Drosophila melanogaster: one gene and its partner. The protein of the gene in region 1 interacts with the protein of each later gene in a pairwise test. Each region holds a gene or a part of one and is shown in the gene's direction. Other genes may lie near its edges.

Region 1 (16,473 bases):
AAATTATCCTTTCGAGGCTCCGCTTAATCCTGGTTTATGTTTTCAGCAAGGTGATTCCAACTATTACACCAGGTCTTCTTCGTCCGCTCTTCTCACAACAACAGCTGTAATTATACGGAAAGTATCTACGAACTATATCTCAAATTTAGCTCTTTATAGAAATCAGATACGTGGCTTTAAGACGGATCGTTCCATTGAGGCGGAACAAAAGCGCAATCCCACAATGACCTCCCGACTAAAGAATGCTCTGGCCAACTCGCCCCAGCGTCTGGATGGGGACACACCCCTTCAGGCTGAAAAACTGAGACGGCTGCTGGCCAAATCCGAAGAGCATGGATTTAATAAAGCCGTAGGACGACAGGGTCTCTCAATTGTTAACCGTACTAATGTTTTGTATTCCAGGAGAGCCTGAAAATTGCCTTTGCCGAGGGCTACTTGGCCGCCGCTAACTCGGAGGACTCTCCAAAATCAGGAAAAACTATGAAATATCTGAAGGTACGAGTTTAAATTCATTCAAAGTGTACCATGATTACTTTGAAAACCACAGAAGGCCTTGGTCTTCTTTAGTGTTATAAATAAATTCTAGTAATTGTCACGCAGACTTTGCAGACTATCGTCGTTATCGTCGTGTTCTTGGGCATTTTCCTGAGCTTCTTTACAACCTCCAATGGATCCGTATTTCGGTGAGCCTCCACGTTATTAGTTTTGCTTTACCCATCTGATATGCCTTTCTTTCAGCAGCATACAACTGGGCAACCAGGTTGAAGTGGACCCTGAGGAGATCAACGTCACTTTTGAGGATGTCAAGGGTTGCGACGAAGCCAAGCAGGAGCTCAAGGAGGTCGTTGAATTCCTGAAGAGTCCGGAAAAGTTCTCAAATTTGGGCGGAAAGCTTCCAAAGGGAGTGCTCCTGGTTGGCCCGCCGGGTACTGGCAAAACACTGCTGGCCCGTGCCGTCGCCGGTGAAGCCAAAGTTCCTTTCTTCCATGCTGCCGGACCGGAGTTCGACGAGGTGCTCGTAGGCCAAGGAGCCAGACGAGTGCGTGATCTGTTCAGTAAGTAGATTTCAATTATCCAAAGTGCTCAACTAAACAAGAACATCATCTTGCAGAGGCAGCAAAGGCCCGTGCCCCTTGTGTTATCTTCATTGACGAAATCGACTCGGTGGGCGCCAAGCGAACCAACTCTGTGCTGCATCCTTACGCCAATCAGACCATCAATCAGCTGCTCTCCGAGATGGATGGCTTCCATCAGAACGCTGGCGTCATTGTTTTGGGAGCCACCAATCGTCGCGACGATTTGGATCAGGCTCTGCTGCGTCCCGGCCGATTTGATGTAGAAGTCATGGTGTCGACGCCCGATTTCACTGGACGTAAGGAGATATTGTCTCTGTATCTGACGAAGATTTTGCACGATGAAATAGACTTGGACATGCTGGCGCGCGGCACCTCTGGTTTTACTGGAGCGGATCTGGAAAACATGATTAACCAAGCGGCGTTAAGGTAAGGAATAACTTGTGTTGTATTATTCAATCACAATTTTGAAGAGCGGTACTAATAATTCTAACATTTTGGCAGAGCTGCCATCGATGGAGCCGAAACGGTCAGCATGAAGCATTTGGAAACGGCACGAGACAAAGTACTTATGGGACCCGAGCGCAAGGCTCGTCTACCGGACGAGGAGGCCAACACCATAACCGCTTACCACGAGGGCGGCCACGCGATTGTGGCCTTCTACACCAAGGAGTCGCATCCGCTGCACAAGGTGACCATCATGCCCCGCGGACCCTCCCTTGGACACACCGCCTACATACCGGAGAAGGAGCGTTACCATGTCACAAAGGCACAGCTGCTGGCCATGATGGACACCATGATGGGCGGTCGTGCTGCTGAGGAACTGGTCTTCGGCACGGACAAGATTACGTCGGGAGCCAGCAGTGATCTCAAGCAGGCAACCTCGATCGCGACGCATATGGTCAGGGACTGGGGCATGTCGGACAAGGTCGGTCTTCGCACCATCGAGGCGTCAAAGGGTCTGGGCACCGGTGACACCCTTGGTCCCAACACCATTGAAGCCGTGGACGCGGAGATCAAGCGCATCCTCAGCGACAGCTACGAGCGGGCGAAGGCTATCCTGCGAAAACACACCAGGGAGCACAAAGCGCTTGCGGAGGCGCTTCTCAAGTACGAGACTCTTGACGCCGACGACATCAAGGCAATACTGAATGAAAGCCAGACGTAGTTCCCCCATCGGTGTGGTTTGATGGTGTTCAAGGATCCAATTGGAAGGCCGGGTTGGTCTGCCACCGGACATTCAGCTGAACTGCTAAATATTTTTAGTTACAATATACATATATAAAAAACCGGAGAAAAAAACCAAGCAAGAGCGAGACGCAGACGGACAGTTAAGAAATAAAATGTTACACATATTCAGTTATGTTTTCCATCATTCACGTTAGAATTAAATATTAGTTTGAGTAATAAATTAATTTGAAGTGGAATCCACATATTGTTTGCGCGCCCATATCGATGTGACCAGACTACTGCAACCTATGTTAGAAACCATTTTCTAGAACTTAAGTTATAAATATATTTTCAATGTTAAAGACATAATTAACAAATATAGTTTTGATCACATTTTTTGTGGAATCCATTCCATGCTCATCCATTTTAGTATTTTTCATTGTATATTTGACGTTTGCGGTATATTTGAACAGCTGCGTCGCGGTCACACTTTCTAGCTGTCGAATTTCCAATTCATGTTTTATTTTTTGCCGAATAAATTGAGATAATATTCTGAGAAAATGTGCGACTACAAGGTCTCGGAGCGGGCGTACGCCAAGTTGATATTCCACGCGGCCAAGTATCCACACCAGGCGGTCAACGGACTCTTGCTGGCCGAGAAGACATCGAAGGGCTCCCAAGTGGAAATCGTGGATGCGATTCCGCTTTTCCACCAGTGCCTGTATGTCACCCCCATGGCGGAGGTGGCCCTCATGCTGGTAATTACCAATTGCCCTTCCTAAACTCACATCACGAGGGGCTCGGTGCATTTGTGTCCGGACAGCAATGTGGTGCGCCCCATAATGGAACTATTATGGCTTCAATTTGTATCTAGATCCTCGCACCCTGGCCAAACACTCCGCTATCCAAAAGATATATAACTATTCTAACTTATTGCGGCTGCATAGTTATCCAGTGTTGTGCTTAGAACAGAAAGGTTTATGTTCCAAGCGATCTTTATTTAGTAAAATGTACCTTGTACCCCACGATGGTATTTTAATATTAGCATATCAAATTCAAAAACTAGTGTCACACCACTTTTACCCTGTTAGAAGTTTATTACCCAAATTAAACTAGCAGTCTTAAAGCATTGAAGTTGTGAAGACTGAATTAAATTTAAAAGCCGATAAGGTTGTACCATTGTTTAAATTAAAACATTTTATAAAATAACGATAATAATACATTACCTTACACTTTCAGATCGATGCCCACGCCGAACGGGAAGGATTAGTAATCGCAGGCTACTACGCAGCACCGGAGAACTTCTACGACAACCAGGTCGACAAGACCCCAGCCGCCAAGATAGCTGACAAGATCCAGGAGAACTTCAAGAACGCCTGCTTTGTGGTGGTGGACAACAAACTGATGACGCTGCAGCACGACCGAGCCGCCATCCAGGTATTCAACTGTCCCGGAGACTCTGGAGCAAGGTGGTCAAAGGCCAAGTTTACGCTCTCACAGGCGTCCGATACATTGGAAGGCGTGTCGCTGCTGCTGAAGCGCGGAGCCATGCGGGATTTGGTTGACTTTGACAACCATCTAGATAATCCGGACAAAAACTGGACCAACGACTTCCTGAATCAGCCGCTCAACGATCTGCAGAAACTGTACTAGTCGTCCGTTTCAAACGTACGTTTTTTTTTTAGTCTAGCAAAATCGCATTCGAGGGAACATGCCGGAATTTCAACCTTGCAATTTAATTTATTGTAATTACATTTGGATTTCAGTAATCTTTAGAATAATGCATATAAGTTAAATAACATTCAACTAATTAATAAATAATCAATTCTTTCATCATGTTTTGAGTCAAATGTTGTCTGCAGTCCGAGTCCGTCTGTTGGTGCACCTATTGTAATATCCTTTTTAAGTCCGGTCCGGTCCGGTTCTGTTCTGTTTATTGTGTTGAGTAAACCTAAGCGCGTTACAATTATCGTTAATAAATACAGATGAATAATATGTATATAATTTTGCTTTTGGTTTGTCTGGCTTGTAAATTGAAATATTTTACAATAATATTGTAATATCGCGATTGCTGATTATACATAGGTATACATAATACGTACTTATGTGGATATATCGGAGATCGAAAGTATCGCAAAAACGTTTATTTATATAATTTCAGTGTATTGTATATTTTCATATTATCTGATCGAACGCATAACGAACTCTTTACACCGTACACTAAACGTATAGGGGACCGGGACTACGAATCACTGATCACGGATCTCTGATCACCAACGGGATGCCATCCTGAGCACCTTACTCGTATTTGATTTGCCAGTTATATGCTATATGCTTCTGTAGTTCTGTGTATAAGGAGTATGCTTTGGGCTTGTATATAATATCTTTTGCTTGATTGAGTTATGTCTCTTGTTGGTTATTTTTCACCCAGTGTCCGCTGGAAGGGATGGGCAGGTGTGGGTGTGGCTGTGGTCGTGGTCGTGGGCATGACATGGGGGAATCTGTTCTACGTGGGGCGCCTTTTGATTATATCCTAGCTATACAAGAGCGCCTGAACACGCAAGCATAATCAGTATGTAAGAGTATGAGGCATATTTCGCTCGGACTCTTTCTCAGTCCACATCGTGATATATCTGGGTTGGTGTGTCTTGTGTTCCGTCACCACATGCTATGTTAGTTGATCTATAAGAATGCAATAGAGAAGTCATGTATCAGTGGGATGCTGTGGGGGAATGGCTAGGGAAGAACACCCAAACGAAAGATGCACTGCAATTTGGAAAACTCTAGTAGTGTACGATTCTACATGGACGTGTGCGAGTCTAACTCTGTGTGTGATGGGGGTGGAGCTGTCTAGGTGTGGAGGTGTCGTGGGTGCAGCGGTACGGGACGTATCTATGTGTGCTGGGGATCGTGTCTAGAGTCGGTCTCCTCTGATATTTACCATTCCCGCGGACAGAGAGTTGATGGCCTCTTCCACCGTCGGCTTGTGTCGATCGATTTTAGATGAGTTTATGGGCGAGAAGTTGTCTACGATTGCAAGCGTGAACGAATACACATATACAGATAGATATAGAAACACAAAAAGCGATTTCAAAGCAAATCTCAAGTGCCAATTACCGAGATCACCACTCGAACTGGAGTCCGTAAAACTTGGTGTGCCCTCTGTCCATGTGGGAGTGGAGCCCTCACCTGAAGCGGGCGGGGTCCAGGCCAATCCGCCGCGGGATCCGTACTGGCTGCTCGACGACGTGTCCACCGCCAGTAATGTATCCAGATGGACTTCCGAAACGCTAGTTAAACAATAAATCAATTTGTTACAAATGGGTATTTCCACTCGACGGCGGGATAGCTTAGATGGCTAACATACATAAGCATTAATACCTCACAATGTCCTCCTTGTAGGAGCCTCGATAGGCGGGTCCAATGTTCATCTTGCGATCCAGATAGTAGGACTGCTGATGCTGCTGCGACTGCTGGTGATGGTGGTGATGATGATGAGACCGGCGACCTATCGACGAGCTGCTGTTCTTGTTCGAGCTGTCCTCGGAGATGTCGTCAAAGGCGGGGGGAGGAGTCGAGCTGCATGAGGGCGTTGTGCCTAGCAATACAATGAGCAGAGCAAAATATACAACGGAATGAGTGGCAGAAGTAGACAGTAGTAATAAAAGGTAGCTGGGTAATGGTGTAGTGTGGCTGGGTAAGCGAGGTGCAAGCGAGTAGCTAATCCCGTCCCTGTCCGCGTCCAGTCGATCCCTGAGTGCCGTCGCTCTCGGGTATCGTGGAGGGCGCTGCCTTGGGCGCTCGTCTCTTGCCCCGTCTGATCTGCTGTCCAGGAGGACTCCTCGCAGGCTCTACGACCGGGTCGGGAAGCGTAAGCTTGGGTAGAGGTCTTCTAGGACGCTGTGTCGCCTCCAGTTCTCGTTTGACCTCCAAAAAAGCACTGACCGACTGCAGGAGATTATCCTCCTCCGGCTGGTTCTCGCAATCCTCGCCACCGAGCGCCAAATCCACGTAGTGAAAGTAACGCTTCCGCCTCTGATGTCGCTGCAGCTTCTCTTGAATCCCTCGCCTAGGAGAATGCTGGCTGTGAATACTGCCCGAGGATCGGGAACGTCCCGTACGATAGCTTTCCGCTCTGATCGGCGGAAAGCTCCGAACTATGGAGCCCACCGATGACCGATCACTGCGCGCCACAAAGCTGTTCTTGCGCTGAAAGATGTCCACGTGGTTGAGGAGTCTTGGCTGCTGGCGCCGGAAGCTACTTTCTGATCGAGCCGTGGAGTAGGCGGAGTGCAGGGAATCCCGGCGCCGCAGCGAAGAACTTCTCAGTAGAGTAACCGTTGGGTCTGCCAGAGGAGCAGGCGGTGCATATGGACCATATGGACCACTGTCCGGACCATCGAAGAGATCATGCAGCTCCAACCAATCCTGGACATTGCTAGGCGAACGGCGATCCCCGAATCGCGGAATGCCCTCGTTCGCTGGCACCTGAAGGGTGTGGGTATGTGCTGGTGCCGGGTTGGGATTAGTGGTGTGCGGTTCTGTACCTGGAGTCGTCCGATCCTGGGCATCCTTGCGCCGTGGCGAGCCGCGTGGCGGTACTGGCGGTGGCACTCGCGTCTTCAGATTACTGGCCGCCGGCGTACGCTGCTTGACGGGCGGTGGTGCCCGTTCACTGGCGCCACTGGTGGTTGCTGGACCTAGGGCAGTTGCTCCTCTTTCGGCTCCACCTGCCGCTCCCGCTGGCGTGGGCTCGGTGGTGGGCGGCTTGGCTGGCTGGTGAATCTTGCCACTGCTGTGCGAGTGCGAGGCGTGAACCGCTGAGCAAATTATAATAGGTTTAGGAATCGAAAGAGTGTTTTAGAACAAGTTGTAGTCGTGGTTAGTATACATTAATTTTTAGAGTGATTAACTTACGCCTGGAGGCCACCTCGTTGTCGCTGTCAATGGAGCGCTGAATAGCCTTGGAAAGGCTTTTTCTCTTCGAAGGCGAATGCTTAAGCGCTGCAAAAATGATGGAAATGCAGTAATTAGTTGCGGAACGCATAAATTTGTTTCGATCAAAAGAAAAAGTTCAAAAAGCATAGCACTTCCAAAGCAACTATGCGAAGCCAAGAGCAATACGGTTGCCAGGATGCCAAGGATGCCAAGGATGCCGAGGATGCCAGGGATGTGAGATCAACTAACGTGAGATTGAGAGGCATGCTTTGGCGTCCGTTTCGAAATCATATAAAACCAAGTGGTGAATACAAAACATCGTTAATAAACACTATAAAATACTCGTTAAGAAAGGTGTAAGTAAAGAAAGTGAGAGATAATCAAAAGTTAAAGGACATCGACCATTCGTTTGTTTACCTATATAGCTGGTCACCAAGGTACGAAATTTTCTGTGATTCCCCTTGATCTCTGGGAGATCCACTATATGCGTACGTAAGAGTGGGTGATTGCATTCGAGACATGGCCATAAAAGAAAGCAGAGAACAGAGCGGTTTGTTGGTGGATATTGATTTGATGTAGAGATATGTATATAGGTATCTCTTCAAATCGGCGTCTACTCAGGCCAAGTGTACCATATTGCATTTTTGCTGCACATCGATCGATTAACCAACATTAGCAAGCTACGAGTGTCTAAATGGTGTTCGGTGTGTTCGAATGTAAATGGTGTGAAAGTGTCTATGGCTAACTATCTACTCAAAAATGTCGGAAACCGGAACCGGAACCGGAACTGAGTGCTTGCATAACTCGGCCAACTGCACACAAAAATGCCTTACAGTACGAGTACTTAGCCCGACTTCCACGACCGGTCCACTTACGGGAGGGTATCTTGCGGAACACGGTCTTGGCCATAAAGTTTTGGAATCTTTGAGCATAGAACGAGGGCCGGCAGACCGATACGGTTTCCTGCAAGAGTATATATCAGTGGCAAATTCTTGCTAGAATCATCAGTCTTACCCCATCGTGTATGATGCTTTTGAATGTGTGCTCCAGCTTCTTCTTCAGCCTGTAGGATTGCAGGATGTCGATAATGCCGATGTAGAGCAGCAGGCGCTCGCCCTTCTCACTCCTTGCTGGAATGCCACCAGGTCTGGAATTGGGTTAGGTCGTCGCATGTAAGCTCGGAAAAATATATGGAACTGAAACTGAGGCACTCACGGCACATCCTCCTCGTCGTCGATGGGTTCACTCTCCGCCTGAATGCTCTCCATGGCCGTGGAGTGGGCAACCAGCCGCTGGCGATTCACTGACCTGTATGCCGCACTGGGTTAGATCTTTAGATTGCCCGAAGGCTTGGCAGCAAGCTGAGATACTCACTTATTCCTGCTGATGCCTGTGGCCGCATCGCCGTCCAGCGGATCGTCTGCATCCACATCGGAGTCCTCGGCCAGCGGAGCCCTAAGCGGTTTTCTCTGCTCACTCTGCTTCTCCTTTAGCGCCACGTCCAGATTGTGGACGCCGAGGAGCAGCGAGTAGTCCATGATTTTGAAGGACTCCAGCACCGTGCAGTCGCGCTGAATGGTCTTGATCAGCGCGGCGTAGGTCTCGGCCTCCAGGAATATGCCGTTGGGATGCTGCTCCATGAAGTCGAGGTCCTTGTACGTGGGCGACTTCTTGGCACGCTCCGCCTTGTTGGCCTTGCGCTTGAACGTGGAGCCCTTGAGGTCGTACTTGAGGTGCATCTTTACGGACGAGGGCAGCAGATTGTTCATGACCACCAGGCGAATATTTTTGGCATTGCTCGTCTGCAGGCAGTACAATCCGAAGAACTTTGGCAATAGCGTGCGCGGATTTTGATTTAGATTCATATAGTAACTGAAATGCAGATAACACTTTTTAAATAGGTCTTCTTGCAAAGATTTGTTCGGGTTACCCACCCAGGCAGTAGTTTCTGTAAGAATTCACCCTCCTTGTGTTGCACCGTCTTTATGATGAACTCGTCGTCGGTCGTCAGGTAGAATATAGAGCCGGAAGCACCAGGATTGGACAGTTCCCGCAGCGGGGACGTGCACATGGACATCTGAAAGTATGGACCATCAGTATCTGCCGACTTGGAACGGTCGCCCACTCACCATAAAATCATCTGGTTGGATGCCAAACAGATCCCGAAAGTAGCGAAACGCTATGGGCGCATAGATCTTGTATCTGAACTCGCTGTAATGGTGGGCAGGTGTAAGGCTAGAACCCTCTGGTGGAAAGGTGATGCTCTCGATTTCCCAGAAGTCCATCATAAGTAGATCACGCTTGGGCTTCGAGGCCAGACTGCCGACCTGCGAAGGATATTTCAAGATTACTAAGTAGATGGAAAAAGCCAAGATATACAAGATATGTCATACGAATCAAGCTTGGGTCAATCTTGTAACCCCGCCCTGAGTTCATTGAAATGTTTGGAAATAGTGCTAGTAAAACATGCAAGCTCCAGTACTTAAGGCTATGAATGTTTCTTACAGTGTGCTGGATTCCCAGTTGGATGGAGCCCATGATCTGCGACGTCTGGATCTTTTTGTACGTAATCTCGCCGCCCTCGCCGACGCGTCTGTGGCCAATCTTGCGCTCCTTGTCCGCCTTGCTGGACGCTCGGTTCGGTCGGTTGCCCAGCTGGACGGATGAATGGTTGGTTAGTTGGTTGGTTGGGAGTGAAAGTAATTGACCCGATTAGTTTGGATGGGAGTGACCTCGAGGTCAAGGCGGATGTACTTACGTCGGGCGATGAGTTTCCCACATGGTCGGTGGAGGCTAAAGAAAGACGGACAGAGTTCATTATTAGGAGTCATGTTTAATTCAGGCCATGACGCAGTCGCCTGGTCAATCACCGCAACTTGAACTTGGACAGGACACTCTCCCTCCAGTCGCGTGTGACTTTCTTTTGTTATCAATCCCAAAATATAAATAGGAGCCGATGGAAGTCCGTTTGACAAGTGCGGGGGTGGATTCACACTCACGCTTCCTCCCTTCGCGCGAGACACATGCGCCAGGGGCATTTCCATTCGACAGTCATTGATTTTTTTCACGCTGCGAAAAGTGACGGGGTCTGTGGATAATAGTTACCATTGCTGGGCTCGGCCAGTTTGGCCTGAGACGCCGAGGAGCTGTCCATGTCGATGGTGTTGATGGTGTCGCCATCGCCGGAGGCCATCGTGCAGCTCCTGCTCTGCTATCGTATTCTCTTCTCTTCTCTGCACTCTTCCCACGTCTAGGACTTCACTAGGACATGCTGGCTGGCTGGGATTGTGGACTTGGGCTATTCGAGGGCTGCTTTCACGTTTTCCGATCCTCGGCGATTATCCAATCGAGTGGGCTAACTGGGTGGCAGGAACCTTGGCTCTCGTCTGGCGCTGGCGTCAACGTTTCTGCTGTCTACGGTGATGGTGATGTTGATGGCTCCTCTGCCACTGCTGTCATTTTCACTGCATACTCATAGGCACACTGGAAGGCTGGAAGGTCGGCAGGGCTGGAAGGGTGTGCGCAGGAACAGGCACGCAGGGTTGCATTCACAGTCAGACGGTGAAGCGGAGCATCCGCACTGTTGTAAAATCCGCAAATAGCAATGTTTTTAAAGCTTATAAGCCTTTGACGCGTGGAAATATAATATACAAACATAAAAATAGTAAATAATAATTTATGTTAATAAATTTTATAACACCCTGTGGCCCTGTAACGCCCACATGATTAAAACGAATTATTAAAAACAAACTTCATTTAAACCAATCCATAGATGCCATAAACAAAAGTAATTTGGATTTAATTAGTCATGCTGAGACTTTTTTTTATTATATGTGTGACTTGAGTCCAATCTACAGCGTAATTTTACAATAAAAATACAATTTTAAAATTTGTTTAGTTTTTTAGCAAAGAAAAACGACGACGAAGGCGGTTGGTTTAATGCACTTTTAATGTTTCTTTTCGTATTTTTTTTATTAGCGTTTCTGTACTCAATTAGACCTATACATCGTATATAACTATCATATATATTTTATTTATGTGGTAAATATATGAATACAAGAATTTCTTGTTATGCTTTACTGTTGTCCTTTTTGTCTTTATGGGTTCGTTTGCTTACGCATTGTGGTGTTTGTTTTTGTTTTGTGTTTCGTTATCCTTACAAATACATGCATGTACAAAATAAGCGCTTTTTTTTAAAAATACCGCAAAAAATTACGTTTATCCGTTAAAAGTCTATTAAAAATTAAGGAGTATCAAAGTTCCTAGTCCAAACATAAAAACGAATGTAGCCTACATAAAAAGGACACTACCAAACTAACTGCTTAGAGCTAAGGATGCGATGGACATGACTACGGCGACCGTTGTCCACTTGCGTTGTATAGTTGAGGCCTTATCTGTAAAGAAGAAAATATTAGATTATGTATTCAATTTTGTTAACTTTAAAACTAGGTTTTCTATAAGGATGGAGAAACGGACAGATGTTAAAAATTTCAAACAAATCTAGCTTACTACTTTAATGCTATGATGCATGAATGAATAACTTGTCCTTATAAGCAAAGTGTTATCCAGGCTTACCTGTACTTACCATAGAAAATAGTCTCCCGGCGCTTGGTGTAGTTGGTGCCAACTAGGATAAACGCACAGGTGATTGGGGTGGGGGACTCGAGTTGATCTCTAGGAATGCGGGTGCGAACGGTCATGCTGTAGAGGCCACTGGGGTCCTGGTCCAACTGCGTCAGTACCGAGTCCAGTATGTGGGTGTCAAACCTGCGGAGGGAACGATTAGGTCCTTGCGCTATTGGATTTCACCGGCCTTAAATTGCCGGGGACAGTGGATCCTCTTACATGACAGACAGCATGGGTTGCGGGAAGACGTGCTGGACCGCACACATGATGTCCACGTCCATACGCGAACCGCTCATCCGCGCTTCCAGCATGAAATCCGATTCAGGAACTGTCGCAATTGGAGCAGATTGGACGAAGGGTGTGTGGTGGAGCCGGCGGACAGGAGCCGAAAGACAAAAAGTCGTGAGAATTAATCAAGTGTCAAACTAAACAACGAAACAAAACAATACCAAGCAAAACAGTGTCCCAAAGAAAAGCACAAAACAGCACAAACAAGCCGTGGTTCCGGACACCGCAGAGACTGCCACATGACACGCATGCAAATATGAAAGCGAATCACACGTGCCACACAGACGGCGCCCAGCACCTGCACTAGCAAAAAAAAGTACTGACCCTAGCATTTAAAAGGGGAACTCGATTGGGAACGCCCTGACTAAGCCAATTACAGTTGTCCTACAGCACTGAAAACAACTTCAGATACTAACTAAGATTAAAATATTCAAACCGTAGTTATGGATATATATATATATAGCTAACAAAGTTGCTTTAAAACAAAATAGAAAGTAATATCATGAAATATAATAGAATATAAGTTCCTTAAAAAGGTACGTTGAAAATTTAAATTAGAATTGCCCAGGCACAAGATGATATGCGAGAGAATGAATGCTAATAGTGGGACAGAATAAAGGCCAGCGCATTAGAGTAAGGCTTTCTCGGCTTTTGTTAATGGCTTTTAAGTACATAAATCATAATTTTTGTCTCCCTGTGTAAACACCGACACGAGAACACCTATGCAAACACCCTGGTGGCGGGGGCCAAGTCAAGATGGGGGCGGGTGCAGGTTACCCGGCAGAACCAGAGGCAGAACCACCACCTTAGACCTTTCGACCCCCACCACCACCTGCTACCCATTCCCATTCCCATCGCCACCGCACATCTTTCACCGCCGATCCTTTTTCTTTTGGCCGTGGTCGTGACACCCACCGATTATTTGCAGGCGGGCACTCCGCTTATCCGTGGACTCGAAGGTCTGCACTGCACAGGTGTACTCCCCCGTCATGTTCCAGTCGGGATTCTTTATCGATATAACACCGGGACTGCCCTCCATAGTGAATATTTTGGTGTCTATCTTCGACTTCATGAAGCCCTACAGGCGCAAGAACAAGAACAAATCGAAGACAAAGACAGAGTTCGATTAATCTTAATTAATTCGGTGCGACCAAAGACCCCGAGTGACTCACCATGGCGAACCCCTTGACCGATGGTATCCACTGGTAGATGGAGTGGTTATTGAACAGCCATTTGAGGACGAATCCTTGCTCCCGCGGCCCGATCTCCACCTCGCAGTCGAGCACCAGAGGATCGGGTTCGTGGTCTCGGAACAGCGTGTAGGTGCGTGGCACCCGCAGGTTGGTGATGCGCACCGAGTGAGTGACTATGCGGCATGGGGGCGGAGTAGGAGGAGTACAGGATTAGTTTGGAGGAACCCAAAAAGGATGTATGCGAGAACTGCTCACCCGAGAGTAACGCGAGCACGGCCAGCAGCGTGGCGCGTAGGCCTCGTCCTCGCCAGCCCGCCATGACAGCCGACTAGTTTGCCTCAGCGTCGCTGGGCACTCCAGATCCTGTCGCTCGTGATCCTCCCGTTCCGCGAGGACGCGCCGTCGTTGTGCGTGGCAATGAATACTTCTGTGGTGGTTGGACGTTTCTACTTATCGCGGTGCTGTCTGTTTTCGGCTTGCGCTTTTATGTGGATACATGGGGGCCTTTGGTTGCACTCATTATCACCAATCTCATCACAGAAGCAGAATGGCAGGGGGATGCTTTTTTCTGGGGATACGGGCACTGACTGGCACAAACTTTTCTCGGCCCAACGAGCTCAGCACCTCGGACGCAGCAGCTCCTCGCAGGACATCTCCCACTGCAAGTCGCAACTATGGCAATCTCCTTTTATGGCCCGGGCCATTTAAAGTTTTGCCCACACAGGACAGGATACTTTTTGTTAGCGAAAAATCGACTTTTTGCAGCCCACATACACGAACATCTACGGCTGCGATAGTGTGTGCGTGCGGAATGGAGTCCGCGGGGGCGAACTGTGCCAAAAGTGGAGTTCGTACTCTCGGCGTAGCGCGTGAGTTCTGCTGGCGGATACCAATAGTTGGTGTTGGTATCTTCGGCGGCACACTGTTGTCCCGCTGCCAGGCGCAGCTTTTCATGTTTTAACACTGGAAGCCAACGGGACGCTCGTGGGAGAGCGGAGCTTTCGTTTGGTAGCGCCGAACTCCACGGCGTTCTATGGCGGCACAACTACGTCCTGCGCCAAATCAGCTGAGCGATGGTCACTGCGCAGGCGCTAAAGCTGAACTGATTTCCAGGCAGGGGTGCCACACCTGGACAGGTTTGCTGGGCGGTAAATTCAAATAACTCGGGGTGTTTTATTGCAAACAAAAGGTAACAAAACGTCGAAAAGAGGGATCCCTTTAAGGATATTATTACAAGGAAGAGAGTGGCCACATATAATAATATAATTATAAAAATAATACAATATTACAGGTATCAATAGGATTAAAAATTAATATTTAGTATACTACAAACATATTAGTAACATGCTGTAGTAGCTGTAGTAACAACACGTATATCGGTACCTACCAGTCAAACATGTATCCGTGTAAACTATTATTATGTTGTTGTTTATTCAATTTTCAATAACATCAGCAAAAATCTTAGTCTAATTTATAGTTAATAGTGTTCCTCTTGCTTGGATGTGTTACAGTTACACGCAGACGCACACGCACACACATACACATGATTAGTACTTGCATGGTAGATATAGGTCTAGAACCTGAAATCCCGACTCCAGACCCCAAGAATTCGTGTTAAAAGTATACTATAGACGTGCGATGCTTCAGATTTACATAGATATTACGCGCAGATATATGTTTAGTACGTAAGTGGACTGGCAACTATAGCGTTGACTTCGATTTGGTCGCATTTAAAAACTCGTGTGCTGGCTCCTACATCCTACGGATACACCTACTGATCACTACTTGCTGCTCGGATTGGATTCCTGGGGATTGCTGGTGGTGGTGTTAGTGGGCTGTTAAAACGTGCTTAGATCGAAACTGAAATCACCGTTCAATGGACTGTACACAAGCCAATTGGTTCAAGCGAGTGGGAATCCCGCCTAGTCGCTGGTCTCCTCCTGGCTGCCACCGCGATGCAGGTGGTGGCCAATCAGCGTCTCGATGCGAAAGTCCTTGGCGCTGCTCTGTTTGCTGGTCCGCAGAACCAGGGGCTCGCTATCGAAGCGTCTCCTTGGACTTGAATCGGACGCCTCGGCAGAAGCCTCAAAGATCAACGCTTCCGGCGGCGCATCCAGGCGATTTGTACAGGCGCTGTCCACCGAGTCCGAGATATGTGAGTCCTCCTGCTCATTGCCGCTCTCCACGTCGATCTTGTCCTCGCATGAGTCGTCATCTCCCTCGGCTTCCGCATCGGCCTCTGTGTCCGCATCGTCATTGTACACATTGAGATCCATGTAACCACCGCCGGCGGACAGTCGTTCTGCGTAATCCCTGTGGCCGGGAATGCCCGCAGCACTGGCCACAGTCGCCACATCGAAGGCGTATGGGCTTTTGTACTTGGAGCCACGGCTGCTCTCGGATCCCCCGCCCACTCCTCCGCCGGAGCCACTGCTGTGCGGTAGTGCATCCAGGACATCCGCTCCTCGACCGCGATTCATGAAGGGCAGCCGGTCGAACTTGTCCCCCGACTGACTTCCCTGGTAGAAGGATGCTTCGGCATTCGCAAAGAAGTTAAACTTCTTGTCCGCTCGCAGCGCTGAGTCAAAGACATCCGCCGGATTGTGGACCACGTCGAACTCCCTGCTCCCATTGAAGTTGGGCACGTTGAAATGCACTGGCACGAGGGGCACGGGCTTGCGTATCCAAAATGGAGACAGCGTGCCAAAGACCGCCGGAAACGAGAAGCGTTGCATGGTGGGCGCCCGTTTGTAGCGCTTCCGCCGGCGCAGGAAACTGCCGTTGTCGAACATGTCCTCCGCCAGCGGGTCCAGCGTCCAGAAGTTGCCCTTTCCGGGATTTCCCGGCTCGCGGGGCACCTTTATGAAGCAGTCGTTCAGGCTGAGATTGTGCCGGATGGAGTTCTGCCAGGCGGGGAATTTGTCCTTGTAGTATGGAAAGCTACAAGTAAAATGCACAAGTTATTTAACATTTTTTCGAGGAATTTTTTTTAAAGAATTTGGTTGTTTATCTAGATCACTTACATTGCAATCAGTAAATAAAATATCACATTTTAAAATTTATAATTTTTGAAATCGATTAAAGCACTGAATGTCTCTTCTTTTCTATGTTTTCAATTGAAATTTTATAGGATTTATTTATTTTTATCGTCTTTACAAACTACTACTTTTATTCTCTTTTTCTGA
Region 2 (17,775 bases), on another chromosome or scaffold:
GCAATGCGCATTTTGCATAACTCCGCACCCTCAGCCCACTAAAAGCATACGCACGGAGGGTTAAAACGGTTCCGAATGGGTAACCCGCTAATCCTCTGCGCCTGTCATAAACATTGACATTGATGTGGATGATGGTGATGCGTTGGCGATGACGATGATGACGATGTTCCCGGCATCTCAGTTCCAGTTCCCCTTTCCCGGGTCCGTTTGTGCCACTGACAACTGACAAGTGGGCGTGGTGGGGTCGAGGAACTGCCCAACTATGCGAAGTGCCCGGGAAACCGAGTACCCGACTAACCCCCCGCCACGATTCGTTTCGCTCCACAAACTGTGGAATCGCCGGGCTCATTCCGGCGTATGCCCTTTAACGAGTGTATTCGTCATTCGGGCGGACGGACAGACAGTTGACATTCATTTGAAACGTTTGTAAGGGTGGGGGGAGATATGAAAAAAAAAAGGATACTTCGAAGGGGGTGCTCACTGTACAGTGGCAACCACAGCGGCAGCTACGGCGCATGTCAATCATTAAACTGTCATTTTCAGTCGATTTAACTAGCATTAAAAATCGCACACAATTGCCAGGATTTATGCATTGTGCGTAAGCTGTCATAAATTTCACTGAGTGCCAGCTTTTGCTCGCCCTCTCTGTTTTCCCTTTTGGGGAATTTATCCTTAAGCTGGCCTAATTTTTTATGGCCTGCAAACTAATTTTTATTCATTTGCTCAGCCACCAAAACTAAGCGCGCAAATTTATTTTAATACCCTCACGAACCAAAACCACTAACCGAAACCAACAAAAAAAAAAAAAAAAGAAATGCTGATGAAAATGCGCCACATTTAAAAGAGAAAATCTTTAATTTTCATCTGGGACAATCTCGGCTGCCATTAACCAAAAAAGAAAGCGATGGTAGCGGGCCAAATGGCTGACAGACAGGACATTCGTCCATTGCAGGCGCAGAAAATGCTGTATCCCGAAATTATGGAAATTTATTAATCACATAAATTTAAAGCATAATGTGCGTAAGTGGGCCGACAGTCGCTCCTCGTTAATGGCTCCCAGAGCGACAAAAACGACGGACGCGGCATAAAAATTGCGTTAGGGGCCCCAAACTTCTATAAGATGTCGTTGCCTTATTTGCCTTGGGGTCCTTGGCCAGGTTTTTACGGGCTTAAAACAAACTTTGTGGTGGCCGAAGTAAAATTCCGTGGTTTCGTTCGGCAGGAAGGAAGAGAAAGCACTTCCTGTTGATGTGTAAGCAAATATTTTTGGCCAAATTGCTGGAAAGTGATTTTTTCAGAGGGAGATTCAATCAACAAAGTTGTGTGAGCAAGGTAATATTGGGACACTTTATGAAAATGGTGTAAAATAATTTGATGTCAAACAAGCCAAGCTTTCTTTAATCTGAAAAATTAAAAACAACTGTTATCGTATATCTTCAAAAAGCTTACAATTTAGTAAATGTAAATGTTTAGTAAATATTAAATGTCTCCTGACTAAAACTTCCCATTGTTGATCATAATTTCATTACCTTCTTACCGGAAGTTCTACAGGTAATTTATGCACTGTCTTTGTCGGCGACACTTCCTTTTCAGAATTATCGGAATGGCTTAAACAAGCTCTAAAGCAAGTCCCAAAACAAAGTGCCAACATGTGTTGCACTTAACAAAGAGGGGACCCTATCTGTTCACCCTTTTGAATCCACAACTGCAGCACACGCGCCTTGTAAGCCCTTTTGACACACCAGTAGTAGGGATAGAACCTCTCCTCTTTCCTCAACGGGAACGTAAAATTCGCCAAAACAGCACGTGTTGGTTGGTAAATGGACTCCAGATACTCAGAACACTGGGGGGAGTTTCCACAGCTCCTGGTTTTCCATCGAGTGCTGACATTTAAAGTAGCTGCCAGCGTTGAAGTGACAAAACTAAAGATAAGACTCAATCACGTGTAGCTGACACTGACAATCGCTGCTGAGGGAAAAAAGGCGAGCGAACCGAAAGGAAAACTCGCCAGCAACAAAATAGAAAATCAATTTCCACGTTTTAAGCAAATGTGTGGGTGGAATATATCGAGGCGGCAACTGCAAGCAGTTGCTTTGAATTCCATATGGGAGGAAGGGAGCATTAGAGAAAGGCGAGTGGAGAAAGTGGAAAGAGGTGGGGCGGCGAATGAAGAGTGACATGCAGACAAAACGCGGGGGGACAAAGAAGGTGTCACTAGCAGGGACAGGATAAATGTGCACAACACCGACAGACAGGAAAAAAGAGCTGTCAGGCGAAGGACAAGGAACGGGCAGGATTTTCATATAGAGAGAAAAATATATATTAATCTTAGAATGATCTATTTGTGTTTGAAAGTATATAAATCTCATATATACAGAAAACTAGGCTTGTAAATCCGAAAAAATCCGAAATATAGGTGAAAATGGCCTAGGATCAGAAAATGAATGACTTAATTTCCTTTTTTCTCTGTGCAGCCGTAGTAGTTGGGCTAGTGCCGAGGACACTTTTGGCATGTTTAGCTTGTTTATCATGTCAGTTGTATGCTGCTACCGGAATTGGCAGCATTAACTGGGAAAAAGCGACAGGAGAACGAGGAGGGAACATCACATGGCCATGACCATCGAGATAATGCAAGTTGCTACTTGGTTGCCATGCCGCTTCTATCTCGCCCCTCTGATCTTTCCCAGCTTCCGCTTAACGACTTTATTTGCCCAACTTGGGCAAATGTAAACGCCGAGGAAAAGCAACGGCTCTGTCTACGTCTGTGATGCTCCAAGCTAACAAATAAACAAACCCAGGCACACGAAACCAAACAGAAACTGAAACTAAACCAAACCAAACGCAAGAAAACCACAAATAGATCTTACGGATACCTGATAAGCTTCAGATACGAGATGGGCACTGTGGTAGAAGTACTGAAAGATACTTTAAGATCGGTATTGAAAATATTGATAACTTTTTCAATGAAATGTACTTCACATTTGTTTTTGTGCGTAGTTTTAAGAAATTGTAATTCAATACGTTACTATTTTACATATGCAGATTCTAGGAAATATTAAACGGAAAATCAATATTATGGCAGGCAAGCGGTTTTGTTTTCATCGACAACTCGTTTGTTTGTGTTCGCCTTAAACTAATCTATTTAACTAACTACTTTTCGGCGGAGCCCTTCTGCGTATTAAGCCAAATCGCCTTGGGTTTGGCCACTTCGAAGCCACTGTGGCAGCTACTTCCTTAAGAGCTAAGCAGTTTGGAGCGGCAGCAGCTCGCTTTTTGTTGCAGTTGCAGGCGGGCAAACATCACGTGTGCCTCTTAGAATCCTTGTGGCCTGTGTGTGTATGCGTATTGGTGCTGCATACACATTACCATTGTGTGTGCAGGTGAAACTGTGCTGCTGCTGTGCGTGTGCATGCGTTGGTCTCACTGTTGTCACTGCAAAAACAATGCACTCGACGGCGACGAGGACAGCATCAACATGCATAAAATAAATTTTCATTCGCATTTTATTTGTTTTAAGCTGCGACTTTACACAAAGCCAACAAAGTGCCAGCCGACCGCCATCTGTGTTTGTCGGTGTGAGTGGTTGGTTATAGCCCGACCGGATATGGCCTCGGATATTGAAAAGTTGTTCCTGGTCTTTTGCCAAACGAAGAAGTCATAAAACCGAATATTGTGTTTTTAAAGTGACAGCAGTTGGAAATTAAGTTCTTGACTTTTATGTTCGTTCGCCGCAAGTTCGGAATTATTGATATGGACTTTGCTAACTGAGTTTATCCCCAAGGTAAAAGCACAAAGGTGGCATTTAAATGCATTTTACAATGTGTGAGCACTGAAAGTGGCAGTCGTTTATGGGATTGCATTTGGAAAAGGCAATGGCAGCGAGAATCCGCACTCTGTGATTGTTTCTCTTCTCTGACACAATGTAATTCCATCATCGATGGGCTGCACACATGGGGGAAAAACTAATTGGCTTTTGGTGGCGCTGGCTGTGTAATCCCATCAGCATTCGTCGCAAGTTTTGACTCGTAATCACATTAAAAGTATGTCACACTTCTGACTTACTGTCAGCGATGGTGTTTTCCTATTAATTTAAAACCATTTCTTGCGGGCTGTATGTTATGGAGATGCGTTCTTTCTTGCCACAAAGACGGACAGCTGACAAACACATGCGAACGTGGGCAAGTGTCGTCGCCACACGTTTTGCATTAGGAATGCCTTTGCTGGGTCGCAGTTCCCTTCGGCTTGAATTCGATTTTAATGGGTATGGGGTAGCCGTGGAGAATTGAAAAAAGTCAGCATGCGGTTTGCGTCACTGTGTCTGCCATGAAGTCTTCGCTTTGTGTTTCTGCCACGACCTCAAGCTGTGCGCCTGCGCTCTAAACTGCCGTCTTTGCAATGGACTGGCCTAATTCATTTGTAAACGTCTTTAGGTTATGCGACACATATGTGATGGTTAGGGATGGGATAGTGATGGGGTATGGCTACTACGCAGAAAAAAGAAACAAGGATCTGGAATTTTAAAAATGTTGAATTTTATATAATATTAATATATATATGCTATTTTTTTTATATCACGCTTAACAAAATATGTGTTTTAGCCTTAATCCTTACACTTTATCACATCTATCTATATCATACCTATTCAAAGTCCAGCACGTTCCATAAACTATCGCCGCTCGGTAGTCCACCGCTAGTCACGCACATAGATATAGACCGTTAGTCGGCGGGCGGTACCTGGTACCAGCGGGCGGCAAAAAAAATAATGTGGGGAGGGGTCGGCGAAGTGTCGCTGCACACGCCCCTTGACACTTTATATTTTTTTCCTCTTCCTGAGACTGTGGGTCGCGTGAATTCTGGGTAATTACAATTTATGGTGACGCAGTTTCTCAAACGATTCTAGCATTTCCAATTCCATTCCTATTCCCATTTCGACCGGTTGAAGTGGCACCCGCAGTGCGTGTTTGTATTGCTTTTGAATCGAAACTCGATTGCGAAACAAAGGTCGAAATGTGGAGTGGCACTTGAGAGAGGGTTTCTATGCCGTTCTAGTTGCATTCCACGAACCAATAAGTAATAGTTGTGTTTTTTGTTCTTTGGCAACAAAGGAGCTCGAGAGCACCTTGCCATTAGCCAGCCCAGGGTTTCCTTTTCATGTCTGTCTAGAAAGGAGCGCTCTTAGACACTTCGTCTGCTTGGGGAGATCATTATGTATACATATATGTGCACCCTCCATCGATATGGTTACATCATCATGCGGGCAGTTGTCTTTAATTCCCATGTAACAAACAATTAAAAGAAGGCAGGCAGCGCAATATTCGGAAAAAAATTCGCCATGCATTTTCTGGCGGCGTAACGCTTCAGTGGATTAAATTAAATTCCAAGAGGGATTCACCCCAATTCCATGGGAATGAAATCCACACATACAACTCAATTAAGCTCGCTGGCAAGGGAAAAACTTAATTTTATACTTAATTGCAGCATAAACGGGGCGTGGGTGCGCGGGGTCATCGGAAAATGGTGGCGGCTAGGGAAATCAATTTTAGCCTCCGTTTGATCCTTGAAGCATATGCCCCCCGTCAATTGATAAGCAATTTTCCAATTCGCCTACAATTTCCATTTTAATAGAAAAATCCCACGCAACACGATGAACAAAAATTTCGCACTGCCAAACTGCCAAATATGATGAAAGGCCGGGTGGTGGGCGTTAAATGAAAAATGGGCGTGTTCAGCTATGTATAAAGCCAAATTCAATATACAAATTCAAATCATTCAATTATCTGCGGCTCAACGCGAAGCTCCATGGCTTTTTGCAGCGAGGGGAAAAAGTTGAATCAATTTGGCAATTGAATTTCATGGAAAGTTAGGGGCAAGCGAGTGGGAGGACTTAAACAAGTAAAATAAATGGCATTTATCAGAAACAAATCAAATTTCCGCTCGTAATGTAAGCAAAACGAGGAAAAGATACAAGAAAGATAAACAGAAATTGGCAACCAGAAGTTGGGTTTCCTTTAAATGGTTAGGCAAAGGATAAAAGCCGATAGATAAATTTGGAACTTTTCTTAACCACCTGTTTTCCCTTTTTCTTCGTGAAATATGCAAGAAAAAAAGCCTTTTTAGGCTTTTAAAATACATAATAAAATCCATAAAGGATAGAAAATGTTTGACGTAAGCCGGCGTACAACTGTGAAATGCAAATTTCAATCCGCAAAGTTTTATTCTTTTAAATTCTTTTCTGACAACTTTTTCAATAAATATATTTCTGCCAAATCAACTCAGCTCACCTGTCCCAACATTTTTCTCCATTTTTCGCGTATTCCATTTCAATTTACAGCCATTAAATCAACGCTGACTGGGGAATATACTAGTATCTATGTATATATACACGCGGATATATGCTACTAAACAATGCTGTAAATAAACAATAAAATGGATGGCATATAAAAAGAAGATTGCACGCCGGCGCTTACAGACGGAAAATCACGAAATATCCACGCGAGTTTCCATTTTTCTTAGTTGATTTTTCCTCCTTTTATTAGTCCTTTTTATACGTGTGCACGTATCGCCGTGTATCTATGAGAAATACGAGATTCCAATTTGGTACACGGCATTGGATTACATGACAACGACTTTCCACTCACTGCCGTTAATGAGTTCAACTTCGCATCGCTGACTTTTCGATTTATCCATAGGTTCTTCATTTGTGAGTTTTGAGTGTTCAGTTTCAAATTTTGCAGCTGGATTCGGACTGCTTTAAGATGCCGCCACGCCCTGCAACATGCGGTTTTGTTTGGGCTTCTTGGCCAGGTCAATCTACTGCTCGCAAAACCGCAACATGTCGCTGCTGCTTGTGGGTGTGAGCTGGGCTACTGTATCTAAATCCGTATCTGTATCTCTGTTTCTCAGTATCTCAGTATCCGCATCTGCCCATCTGCATCTCCATGCCGAGTAGTCAGTGTATCCTTAGCTAAGCCTCAGCTTAATGCGCTTGCATAAACAATGGACGACCCTCCGTATCTTCATCTCATCTCCGCATCTGTAAGCGGATTTGCCCTAATGTCATTCGACAGTCCTTTCTCCTTTTCAGATGTTTACCGGCCCTCTTTTAAGTCTCTGAAAAGTATGCACTGCTAAACGGTCGCATAATTAGATCAGCTTCGGATTTCAAACTAGTGGATGTTTGGGCGCATCAAAGGTTGCCACCGGCAAAAATCGTAATAAAATCTTATCAAATTCATGGCAGTAGGAAATGAGAAACCGTTAGCTTATGAGAAAATCAAGTTGTCACGACAACCATGCACATATGGCAGTTCTTTGAGGATTCGATTGGCAAGCCAACCACCAGTTGAATGCAGACTGGAAAGGTCCTGTCCCACTCCAGACATCCACATTCCGAGGAAATCCAGCGCATGCGCTGTTGTGGATGCCAAGTTTCGTGGCAGGATACCAAGTTTCGGGCTTAGCACAAAAATGCCAGCACATGGGGCCAGGATAAACAGTTCCTTGCGCGCTTTCAACTGCAAAGGTTGCCCCAAAAAGGCACCTAACCGTATACAACTGGCAGATGCCCAAAACTTCAACATTGTCCGAAATTCGTCGAAAGTCATAAAAACTTAACAAATCCCCCAGTTTAGCACAAAGGGTCGTTTAACTTTTAACGACGCGACGGGGTAATTTTATTGCCAGAGTCGTGGCCCGATAACAGTGATAACAAAGTAGCCGCGTTAACCAAAAAAGTTTCACACTTTCCGTGCTCGAAATCAAAAGACGTAATCGTAAAACGCGGCCAAGTGTTGCGATTTATGAGTTCACAATCGTAATTGAATTTTATGCGAAAACTTTGGCCAGTTTTCCTTTGGATTATTGTGGCAATAAGACGAAAACGCAAATAAAGGTCGTGAACATAACGAAAATTGCCGCCAAAAATTGATACTAAGGTGAGTGGGACACACGACAAATTTCATTATTGGCTCCACATCCTAAATATCCTTTGGATATACAAGTCTTGTTTGTTGGTCAATTTGGGTTTATTTTATCCCTTTGTTGGGATCAAAGTCGGCCCTTTGCATCCTTGACAAACAGTGTTAAAAAGGTCAGTAGCCTTGACTTGAAAGAATTGCATAGGCTCTTGTTTCGCTTCGCTGCCTCCGGTCCTTTCATCTTCTCTATATAATTATTCGCAGAGAGTTTTCCCCCCTCTGCATTTTGCCACCTTTTGGCACTTTGGCTGCACATCAAAATGCATTGCAAACTTTTGCCACGAAAGCTGCTACACTTTCTGGCCTCGTTCGGCTTAAAGTTATCAGCGGCAAATGGGGGTGCAACGGGCTCCAAGGATAGGAATCAACTTTTTTCGGGGTGTCGCCGTACTTCTTGGGGCAGACTTCCTGTTAAGCTGTCAACATGTTTGGAGTGAAGTGTATCAGCTTTTCCGAAAAACTTTAAATTCCTCGGGGCGTTGAAATGCACGCGAGCATGCCCGAGAAAAACGTTTCGGTGTGAATAAAGTAATATAAAACTATGCCAATTCAATGGAATGTACTGCTCTTGAAAGACTGCTTTTAAAGACCTTTTTTTATTAAAGAAACCTTTTGGTTTTCTCTGAATTCAGCAATGAGATTTCGTTGATAAGAATATGATCTTTACTTTTATAAATACTGATTTTTTAGGATATGGTAAAACTTAAAGCAATGCTAGCAGTTTAAAAGAAGGAATCCAATCAGAACGCGTCCGTTAAAAACTGTTGTCGATTTTATGGCACGATTATAAAGAAGCGCCCAAGTCGAATTACTTGCCACAGCACACTTTTGGGGTTAATATGAAGTTCTGCTGCATTAAAAAGCACTGCGGAAATTAATGAAGATAAACCCCTGGACAAACTTTGGCAATCCACTGGCTTACACTTAAATCTGTGGCATAAAAATGCACTTAAATGCAGTCACAAAATAAGATACACAAGGCCACCGCAGCGTCCTTCCACCGCCCCACGCCCACCACGTTTTCCGAACCCCTCGCCAAGCCAGCAACATTTTCCTTGAAAAGCGTCGCCAAGGAAATGTCAAGCGGCGGTTTGTTGGCCGCAGTCGCATTCGTATTCGCAGTCGACACTTCCGCAGCGGCGACAGGTGCTGCCTGTCAGCTGCATACGAACCGCGAATTTTTCACCTCACCACCCACCGCTTTTCCGCGACACTTTTCCCTCGCCGCTCTTGGCCGTGTCAAGTTAATCAGCAAGCCATGGTTTCTGCTCTCCTTTTTTTCGGTGGCTTTTCAGCATTCCATCTTTGTTTTTTTCGGTTGTGGGAAAAAAAAAATTTCACGCCCGCAACGAAAACTTTTCATTTTCAACAAGCGAGTGAGCGAGCGTTAATAAGGTATAAAAAAAGTTAGGGGAAAAAAGGCGGAATAGCAGCCTCAGACAAAAGAGCCTCATAAAAATGGAGCTTGTTTGTTTGAGCTAGAAGCGACTGCTGCTCCTACTTCTATTTTTCCCCATTTTTCTCCCTTTTTCCTGAAAACCCGTTTATTTGTTAAAGTTTGCTGGTGTTGCTCTTGGCAGTGACTTTGGCTTCTGGCTCTTGTCAAGTAGCTAAAGACAACAAAACAGAGTCTAAATGAAAATCTGCTTTTATTCCACTCACTGGCACATACGTACACGAATGAAAAAGAGTTGTCATATACAGATTTGATAAACTATAAAAAAGGGATTTAATTTTTTTATTCAGGAAATGTATGAATTTAAGTTTTGCACTTCATTTAATAAATTTCGTTATTAAGTCAACCTGTGGCTTCTTATTCAAAACGTATTTGTTGGCCTAAAGTGTACTGTAAAATAGTATTTTGTAGTAGCTTAAATCACTGTTGAAACTTATTAAAGGATCCTCGTTTTTTTCGGTGCATAAGCGCCTTGTACATGTGCCATAATTCACACTGCTGCTCAGCAAGCGGTACAACGAAAGGCTTTTAGGAGTTGTCTCATTTTTCCGCACTCTTTCACTCCTTGAACGCCTACGCCACGCCCACCTGCTGTCGCCCGGCATCGTTGACATTTTCATTCATCGTCTTGGCAACCGTAATTAAAATCGTTTTAATTTACTTTTGCCTCACACACACACACCCGCACACACTCGCACACAAATACAAGCAAACACATGCAAGCCCACGCCTTCCGTTTCCTGTGGAAAGTGTAGCACACTTATCAGCGCTTGTCTGCGTTGCCTGGTTTATGTTTATCGACTTTTGTTTAGCGGCTGATGCTGTTGCTTTTCTGCTGCTGTTATTATTTCAGTCTCTGCCCGCCGGCGGTATCCTTACCGCTTCCCCCCTCCATGCCTCTCTCCGCCACCATCGCCCTACTCATTATGTGGGCGTGCAAATTGCTGCATATTCATTTACCGTTATCTCTTTCTTGTCAAGTAAAACACACATTTTACTACAACAACAGCTGCTGCTCCGGCTGCCTCCTTCACAGCCTAGCCACGCCCCCATCCGCCACGGATAGTAACCATTGCCATCATTCTCCGCCCACTCCTCCATGTTCTTAATAACATAAACTTCTTTTCTCTCAGCGCCCGAGTTGAGTTAATGAAGAATTTCCATGACGATGTCGTTGCCCGTGAGCCCGTTATTTCACTGCGAAAATATTTACAGAAATTCATAACTTCATGTATTATATGGATTTTAAAGAAAAATGATTTCCTAAATAAACATTCAAGAATTGAAAGAAAAACATCAATGCTAAGGTTCCAATTAAGTAGTTATAAAATATTTATATTATCTTAAAAGTACTTATTTTTTCGAGTGCCAAAGCATATCTTTTTGTATCAATCTTTTGATACCACTCCTGCCACCTGCTCTGGCTCATTATATTGTTGCCTTTCGTCGAGGATGGGGATGTTCAAGTTGCCTGGGCAACAACAAAACGTCTACAAATTTGCCAGTCGCTCAGCCGCTTCAGTTGGCTTGAAGCGTATTAATTTTGCTCATAAAATGATTCCCGATAAGATTTGATCTGTGTTTGCCTTGAGACTCCTTCGCTAACCCATAGAATTTGCCAGCCTTTTGAAGTTGACTGCGCACTTGAGGAGAATGGCGAACGTTCTGTGCGGATGATTCGGAGTATGAGGTATTCACCTTTGGCTTAGTAATGAAAATTCTGCGACGGCATCATCGTCGTCGTAAGCCGCTTAAAATTGCCGAGATGATGTGTGCATATGAGTAAAATCTCTGGGGCTTAGTTGGCCCGCTATCAAAACACTCGGCAGCACTTCAAGCGGCTCGGCAACATTTCGGCACCAAAATTGCCATTTCAATGTTGCCAGCAACATGGCGCTCACACATACACATGCATATTCACGGCACATCGCTTCTGTGGGCTTGTGTCTGTGTGCGATACACCCACACACGGAGAATATTTCGGAACAGGCGCTCAGCCACGAGTGTTGGCGAACACGCACTTCGCAGAGATATTCACCCACACACGAGCACAGAATGCAGACTCACTCACTCACAGACACACTCACAACTACGTACACGTACGCACTAAGCAGGCAAACAAAATCGTCCTGGAAGTTGCCAAAGCAACGAAAAAAGCGAGAAAGCCGAGCAAAGTAAGACACTCTTTTTCGAGGACGGTGGTGGGAAGGGAGGGCAGCGGCTGGTTGAACGGGGCCAAACAAAAGCGAGATAAATAAGGAGCACACCGTACACCAACACACACACTCACACACATAGCAAGAGAAGCATCAGACATTGAAACTGTTTTCAGGAGTGTTTGTGTGTGTGAGTCGTAAAACGGTCGCGGCCTGCAGTTGAGTCCTGTCTTAAGGGCCAAAAGAGAGGCTGCTTTATGGTCATTCCCCCATCGTTTCAACCACGCTGTTGTTGTTAATTTTGACGCTGGCATAATAAAGTTGATAAAGCAGCCGCAATGCTGCCTTTGAAGATTTCGTATTTCGCCAGCACCGAAAAGTAGGCAATTATAATTTGCATACAAATGCACGCAGGAATAAGTCGTATTTCCTTTTTTTTTTTTTTTTTTTTTTTTATAGCCCACGCTGGGGATATTTATGATGTTTTTATTATTTGATCAACGCACTGTTACCCATGCGGCAACTTAATTTGATCTGCTTAAATTATTTTATTTTACAATGTGTCTTGGTTACTTAAGACTAACAGATTTTTAATCCTAAAAATGATAGGGAGAATTATAATAGTTGATATAACATAGTAATTATTATTTATTTGATTATTCTAATGAATTTTAAAACTAAGACTTTCTAGGTCAAAACCAGGTTAGGGAGGTCATGAGGGTGGTGTCGCTTGAGTCTTCTTTTGACTCTAGTCCGAGGGTCAGCATTGACCACAGCTGCAGTTCCTAGCTTCCTTGCTAGGCTGTTGGGGTGTACATTAAGCCTTTCCATATATTTTTGGGCGATGTTCTGGAGCTTGTCTTATATAAGATACCCTGGGAGATAGATGCGCTGACCAACTCGCATGTGTGTTTCCGTGGTAAGCATTACGTCTATATCGTGATCGCTGAGGAATATCCGAAGCTCCTCAGAGCCCCTTGTTAATCCGCGAGCGTATCACAATCCGATTTTTAAGGTTGGTTGAGTCATTTAGGAATACGTGTAATTAGAACCTGAACCAGTTCTCTGAAAGCTTTATTAGCCTCTACAGTTTCGTGTATAAGCTTAAATAGTTCGTCCATTCTCGTATTGATGGCCCGAATGGAGTTGTCTAACGTCATAAATTTATTGTTAAGGCTATTGTCCGACGTTGGTATAACTTCAGCCTGCACAGTAGCACGAGCCCTAGATTGAGTCGTGTTGCGTCGAGCAATATCAGCATAAGAGATGTTGGTTCTTAATGCCTCAGCTGGTATGTAACCGCTTGAAGAACGTTGTGGAGGTTTGAGTGTGGCAATATTATTAGTCATCGGTAGCCTGGACCTTGGTTTTAGCTTCTTGGCTTTCTCTGCTCTGACAGGGCAGCTTTTGTCTGTCGAGACATGATCACCACCACAATTTATACACAGACATACGTCACTTATGCACAAAGCGGACCCGGTCATATGGGGACCACTACATTTACCACAAATAGGATCCTGGGCGCAATAGTTCTTAGAGTGTCCAAAAATTTGGCATCTTTGACATTGTAGCAGTTCTTTTCTACGTGTAGCGCGCTCAACAGTGACTCTGTATCTGCCAAGTCGAGTTATCTTAAGAGACTCTTTAACATTCGGGCCTTGTTTAAGATTAATATAAAACAAATTTTGTCTAGTTTTGAAGTTTTTTGTAGCTTCATTATCATCTTCGTTTACCTGAATGTTCTTCCAGTCAGACTTTCTGGGGCAATAGATATTAAGGACCTCATAGCCGTGATCACTAAATGCTTGTTCTATCTGCGAACTAGGAACATTAGCATGGATTCCTTTAAGCACTACTCTGTAGGGTTTTTCTTCTTTAAGTTGGTGATGCCAGAATTGACAATTTAACTTATTTAGTACTTTTACAGCGGTGCGGAAAGCATCAGGGTTGGCTGTATAGATTCTGGATACACCAAATCTAGAGGTGCGGATGTAGTAGTTTGAGGAGCCAATACTCAGATTAAGAGCCCGTTCCAAGGTGACCGGATCACTTACACTTGGTACGCATATGGCTGGGGGTTTGCTATATTTAGCGGATTGTCCACCACCATCTCGGGCAGCAGAGTCTTCAATGTCAGAATCAGCATCCGACACGTCTTGCTCCATATTCTCCGCTTCAGCAGACAAAAGCGCGAAGCGATTGTTATTTAATGCTGCTGCAGTGGAGGTAGAGGCCTCCTCATTGAGTGGCATAGTGGCCTGCCTTTTAGTTTTACGGCTTGGAGAAGGGGTGAGGATAGGTAATGGGGGCTGAGACACGCCTTTTCGTTTCCTGTTGACAGTACGATCATGTGCTTGAAAGGGGCATTTCGCTTTAGATGGCTTATTGGGCAGTGATGACAGAGGTGTCGGGAGTCCATTGTCATAAGGCGTAGTTGGGCAAATGCTAGTGGTCACGGTTGTGCAATCAGTGTATGTAGGAGTACAGATCATGTTGGCCTGTACGTTAGAAATAGTGCAGGTAACACTTGCATTGGTGTTGCTGCTGATTGTCACCATTAAGCTGGAGACCGTAGATTGAGTTGGCATACCTTCCAGGTTAGGGGAAACAACTGCACAGCTGGCGCGGAGTTGGGAGCGTAATTCTCCTGGCTCAACACCTGCTACTTTCCTCATTTTCTCAAATTTATCGCACCCATTGCTAGGTCGCGATTGAGCAAATGAATTCTCCATTATATCAATTGTCTTTATACTTATGCCGTATAATGCAATTGATATTTACTAAACACGATAAGATTTACCGGTTTACTTGTAAGGTAAATTGTAACAACCTCCCGCTTGCGCAGCGCGCAGGGCGAGGGGCAAAAACAACACAGCTTAGAAATTGCTAGTTGCTGATAAGTTTCGCGAACCGAAGCCGTCACCGTTATGCAGTGACTAAAAATAGATTTTGTTTGTGAGATAAGCACACGATCTGCGCAAATGTTTGTGATGGATCACAATTACGTTTTTGTTTTATCCGCGACTTCTGTGAACACGTCCACTCGATTGCTCATCTCACATGCGACTGTGTATTTCCTTGTAATACGTAATATTAAAATAGTAATAATAGGGTTTAAAGAAAACAAAAATCATACATAAATATCGTGAAATATTTTAAGAGTATTTATAACTACTAAAATACGGTATCTTGGGATGTGCGACTATTTAAATTGCAAGTGAAAATTCATGATATGGATGCCTGACTGTTTATGAGTATTCCAGTGTGTGCTGTGTGGGGCTCATACAATAAATCCCCCTGTTCTCCTGCATCCCAGTAATGAATGACAGCTGAGGAGCAACTGCCTGTCTTCGTTTCTGCTAGGACTGCAAAAAAGCGTGTCAAATAACTGGGACACCCGGAGTGCGAAAAGGAAAGGACGCAAAGTAGTAGATAGGGACATCAGCTGCCTGCCTAAGCGTCAGTCATAAAACAAATGAGCCTTCAACATGAGTTCGTCATTTGTTTGCCACCCATTCCCTTTGGCGGGATTTTAAAGGAGCAATTTATGAAAAGCCCTTTGCAGCTGGAGACAAATATTTCGGCGGGGAGGCATATAAACTATGCACTCGAAATTTGCCGCCTGATTACAGAGCCGAAACAATGGAATGTCATAAAGGGAACGAGCAGGGAGTGTATATATGTAGATATCTACACTCAAGGACCTCAAACTCCGTCTGGCCGTAAAATGCAGAAAGTAACACAAAGTAAAACAGAGTCGGGATCTCTGGAGGTTTTAGTTCGTGTCTGCTGGCATTGCAAGGCGCAGGTTTCCCACTGCCGGCTTTTACGATCCTTGTAATTAATGCATACCTTGAGGATATATTACGAGCCATGGTCTGGTCGCAGTCTGGCCAAAGGGAATGGCCGAAGATAAACTTAAGATGAATCTGCTGCAACAAAGAAAATCAAAACAGAGTTCGCAGCAGGTACGCAAAGCAGTGTGACTGACGTTTTAATAACTTGCAACAGTTTATGAAATATATTTTTCTATCCCGAGCAAAACAGAACTTGCTTGCTTGGCTATTCATTTTCAAGTGCGAGCATGAAAATGAAAGAGGCAACTCGAGTGCTGCCAAAAAGTCAACGAACAATAAGTCTAAAAGTCATGCCAGGACTACGAAATACCCCGACTTCCCATGTTGGCCCCTGGCAACTGACTGACTTATGCACTATGCATGCACACGAGTTGCCAACTCTTGCCGCCTTTCTCACTGTGTCAGTACCTCTATTTTATTTTTCAGGCTGGCACAAAACAAATGTAGCTTCGAAATTTAACTAACATTGTTGTAGTCTGACATGGCTTCCTTTTTAGGCAAGCGCTTTGCAGTCAAGATGGCAGGACATTCCGGCCAACTTCTTGCAGAAACTACTTCCGGCAGAAAAAACATTTTCTTTTTCGTCGGAAAATAAAACTCTTTCAAGGTCTCCAGACAGCATAAGAGTATTTGTAGTTCGTTAGGGGATCACCCCTTTTTTTCTGCAGTTTAAGCCTGCTTCCTTTTCGTGCTCAGTTCTTTTGAAACACAGGAGTATCCGTTGTATCAAACACGATGATAGTACTCGGATAATCACAGATATGATTGAATTCTAGCATCCGTATCATTTTAATAAAATCAAAACCTTATTTAAATCCCCGAAAACAGGATATGTGGAAGTCTCATCGAAATCCTCCTAGCCTGTTTTACTCTGCGTATTGTAGCCTTTTGTCCTTCACACTTCGCTGCATCTGGGCCTGTGTAACTTGTGTTACTCTCGACACTGCAGCACAGTTTTAATTTTTATTTTCATTTTTATTCGGGAAAACACTCCGACTGCGTCTGGCACTGCAACTGAGATGCCCCAATACGCTTTAATGCAATGACATTAATTTATGAGCCAGGGTCGAAGTTAAGCTCCGTTTCAGCCATTTCAGTCACTCTCTAACTCATTTATTCAGTCGGGACTGGTGACTTTGGACTGCAGAATGAAGACTGAGCACTCGATTCGGCAGCATTCACACGCCTCGTCGCGCTGGCACTTAAGTAATTTCAACTTGCAAACAAACACCCCGGAAAAGTCGCTCCCGCAGCCATGGCAAATGTCAAAGTAGTTGTTAACATTTCCGCTTTTTCGCACGGCTTTTCTCTGTCCCGGTTTTTCTCCATATTTAGATGCGAGGGAGGGAAGGGCGGCGAAAAGTTTTCCAACCAAATTGCAAGCCACAAGGAATGCAGTCGAGTAAAGCTGCAAGCGAAAAAAGTTTCCCTTGCCCGACACTCTTAAATTACTGACTTAATTATAAAACATGAACGCTGGGAGTTAAGGAGTCCTTAGCTTGGCCAGCATCCTTTGGAGCAGTTGGCATTGCAGTTGCCAGTAATTTACATAAATAACTTGGCTTGCAGTATTAACATGAAGGTTACAAATCGCTATGCTCTCCCCCGCGCCATAAAATGTTAAATGGCATTTAAACTGTTGACTTTCAGATAAAAACGGGGTCAAATGTGGCTTGACCTGGAAAAGTAGTGGAGCTTTGGGGAATAGGTATGTCAGGACTTGGGGGATAAACTGCATATGGGGTAGCCTCAATTGTTACGCCAGGACCTGGCTTTATCCTCCTCCTGGTCCCATTGCGACTTACTGTCGCTTCATGTTGACAAGCTTAACAACCGTCAGCTGCAAGTAGCAGCAATTCCTCATCACTGGCTCCTCGGATGGGCACCCCAGCCGGAGGTCCTTTGCCTACACTCCACTCCAGTGGCTTGACTGCTGAGGTTCTTGAGGTTTGAGGTCCCTGCCAGTCTCATGTGCAACTGACATTTTTCAACATGCTGTGGGATTTCGCCCACAACCAGCACATCACATATACAAACATTGACTTTGACTTGTTTTCTGTTAATTTTCGGGGGAAGGGGACAGGAAGTTTTAGTTGCACACTGAGCGAAAATGTCCTTAAATAATGCTATCTCCTAACTAATTGAATTGAAATTCAGTTCAAATCTTTATAATTTAATTGTTTTTGATTTGCTTGACTATATGTTTCTACTATTTTTAATTGTGTATATAATTTCGTTATCATCGTTTCCCAGCACTCTCAACTGATTACTCATCAAGTTCCCATATCCTGGCCAGGGCTTTCCAGTGAAGCGTTTTTAATGTGTTTATA

What was found.
Region 2: the proteins of EMC8-9 (region 1) and PVRAP interact in a two-hybrid assay, tested with the Drosophila melanogaster proteins (one large-scale study listed by BioGRID).

What each region holds. Positions count from the first base shown.
Region 1 is NT_033778.4:22,868,930-22,885,402, reverse strand, and holds EMC8-9 (ER membrane protein complex subunit 8/9), read left to right. Parts: upstream 1-2,712; 5' UTR 2,713-2,803; coding exon 2,804-3,001; intron 3,002-3,482; coding exon 3,483-3,896; 3' UTR 3,897-4,081; downstream 4,082-16,473. Other genes in the region: YME1L (YME1 like ATPase), read left to right, coding at 47-106, 160-349, 403-495, 601-683, 739-1,055, 1,112-1,502, 1,578-2,241; PIP5K59B (phosphatidylinositol 4-phosphate 5-kinase 59B), read right to left, coding at 5,964-7,063, 7,161-7,247, 7,599-7,661, 8,057-8,144, 8,196-8,328, 8,397-8,489, 8,556-9,053, 9,116-9,258 and 4 more; CG13532 (uncharacterized protein), read right to left, coding at 11,496-11,575, 11,767-11,948, 12,027-12,135, 13,011-13,173, 13,268-13,461, 13,544-13,607; fd59A (forkhead domain 59A), read right to left, coding at 15,211-16,228. UniProt on the Drosophila melanogaster protein: Part of the endoplasmic reticulum membrane protein complex (EMC) that enables the energy-independent insertion into endoplasmic reticulum membranes of newly synthesized multi-pass membrane proteins like rhodopsins.
Region 2 is NT_037436.4:5,989,720-6,007,494, forward strand, and holds the start of PVRAP (PVR adaptor protein), read left to right. Parts: upstream 1-7,488; 5' UTR 7,489-7,934; intron 7,935-17,775.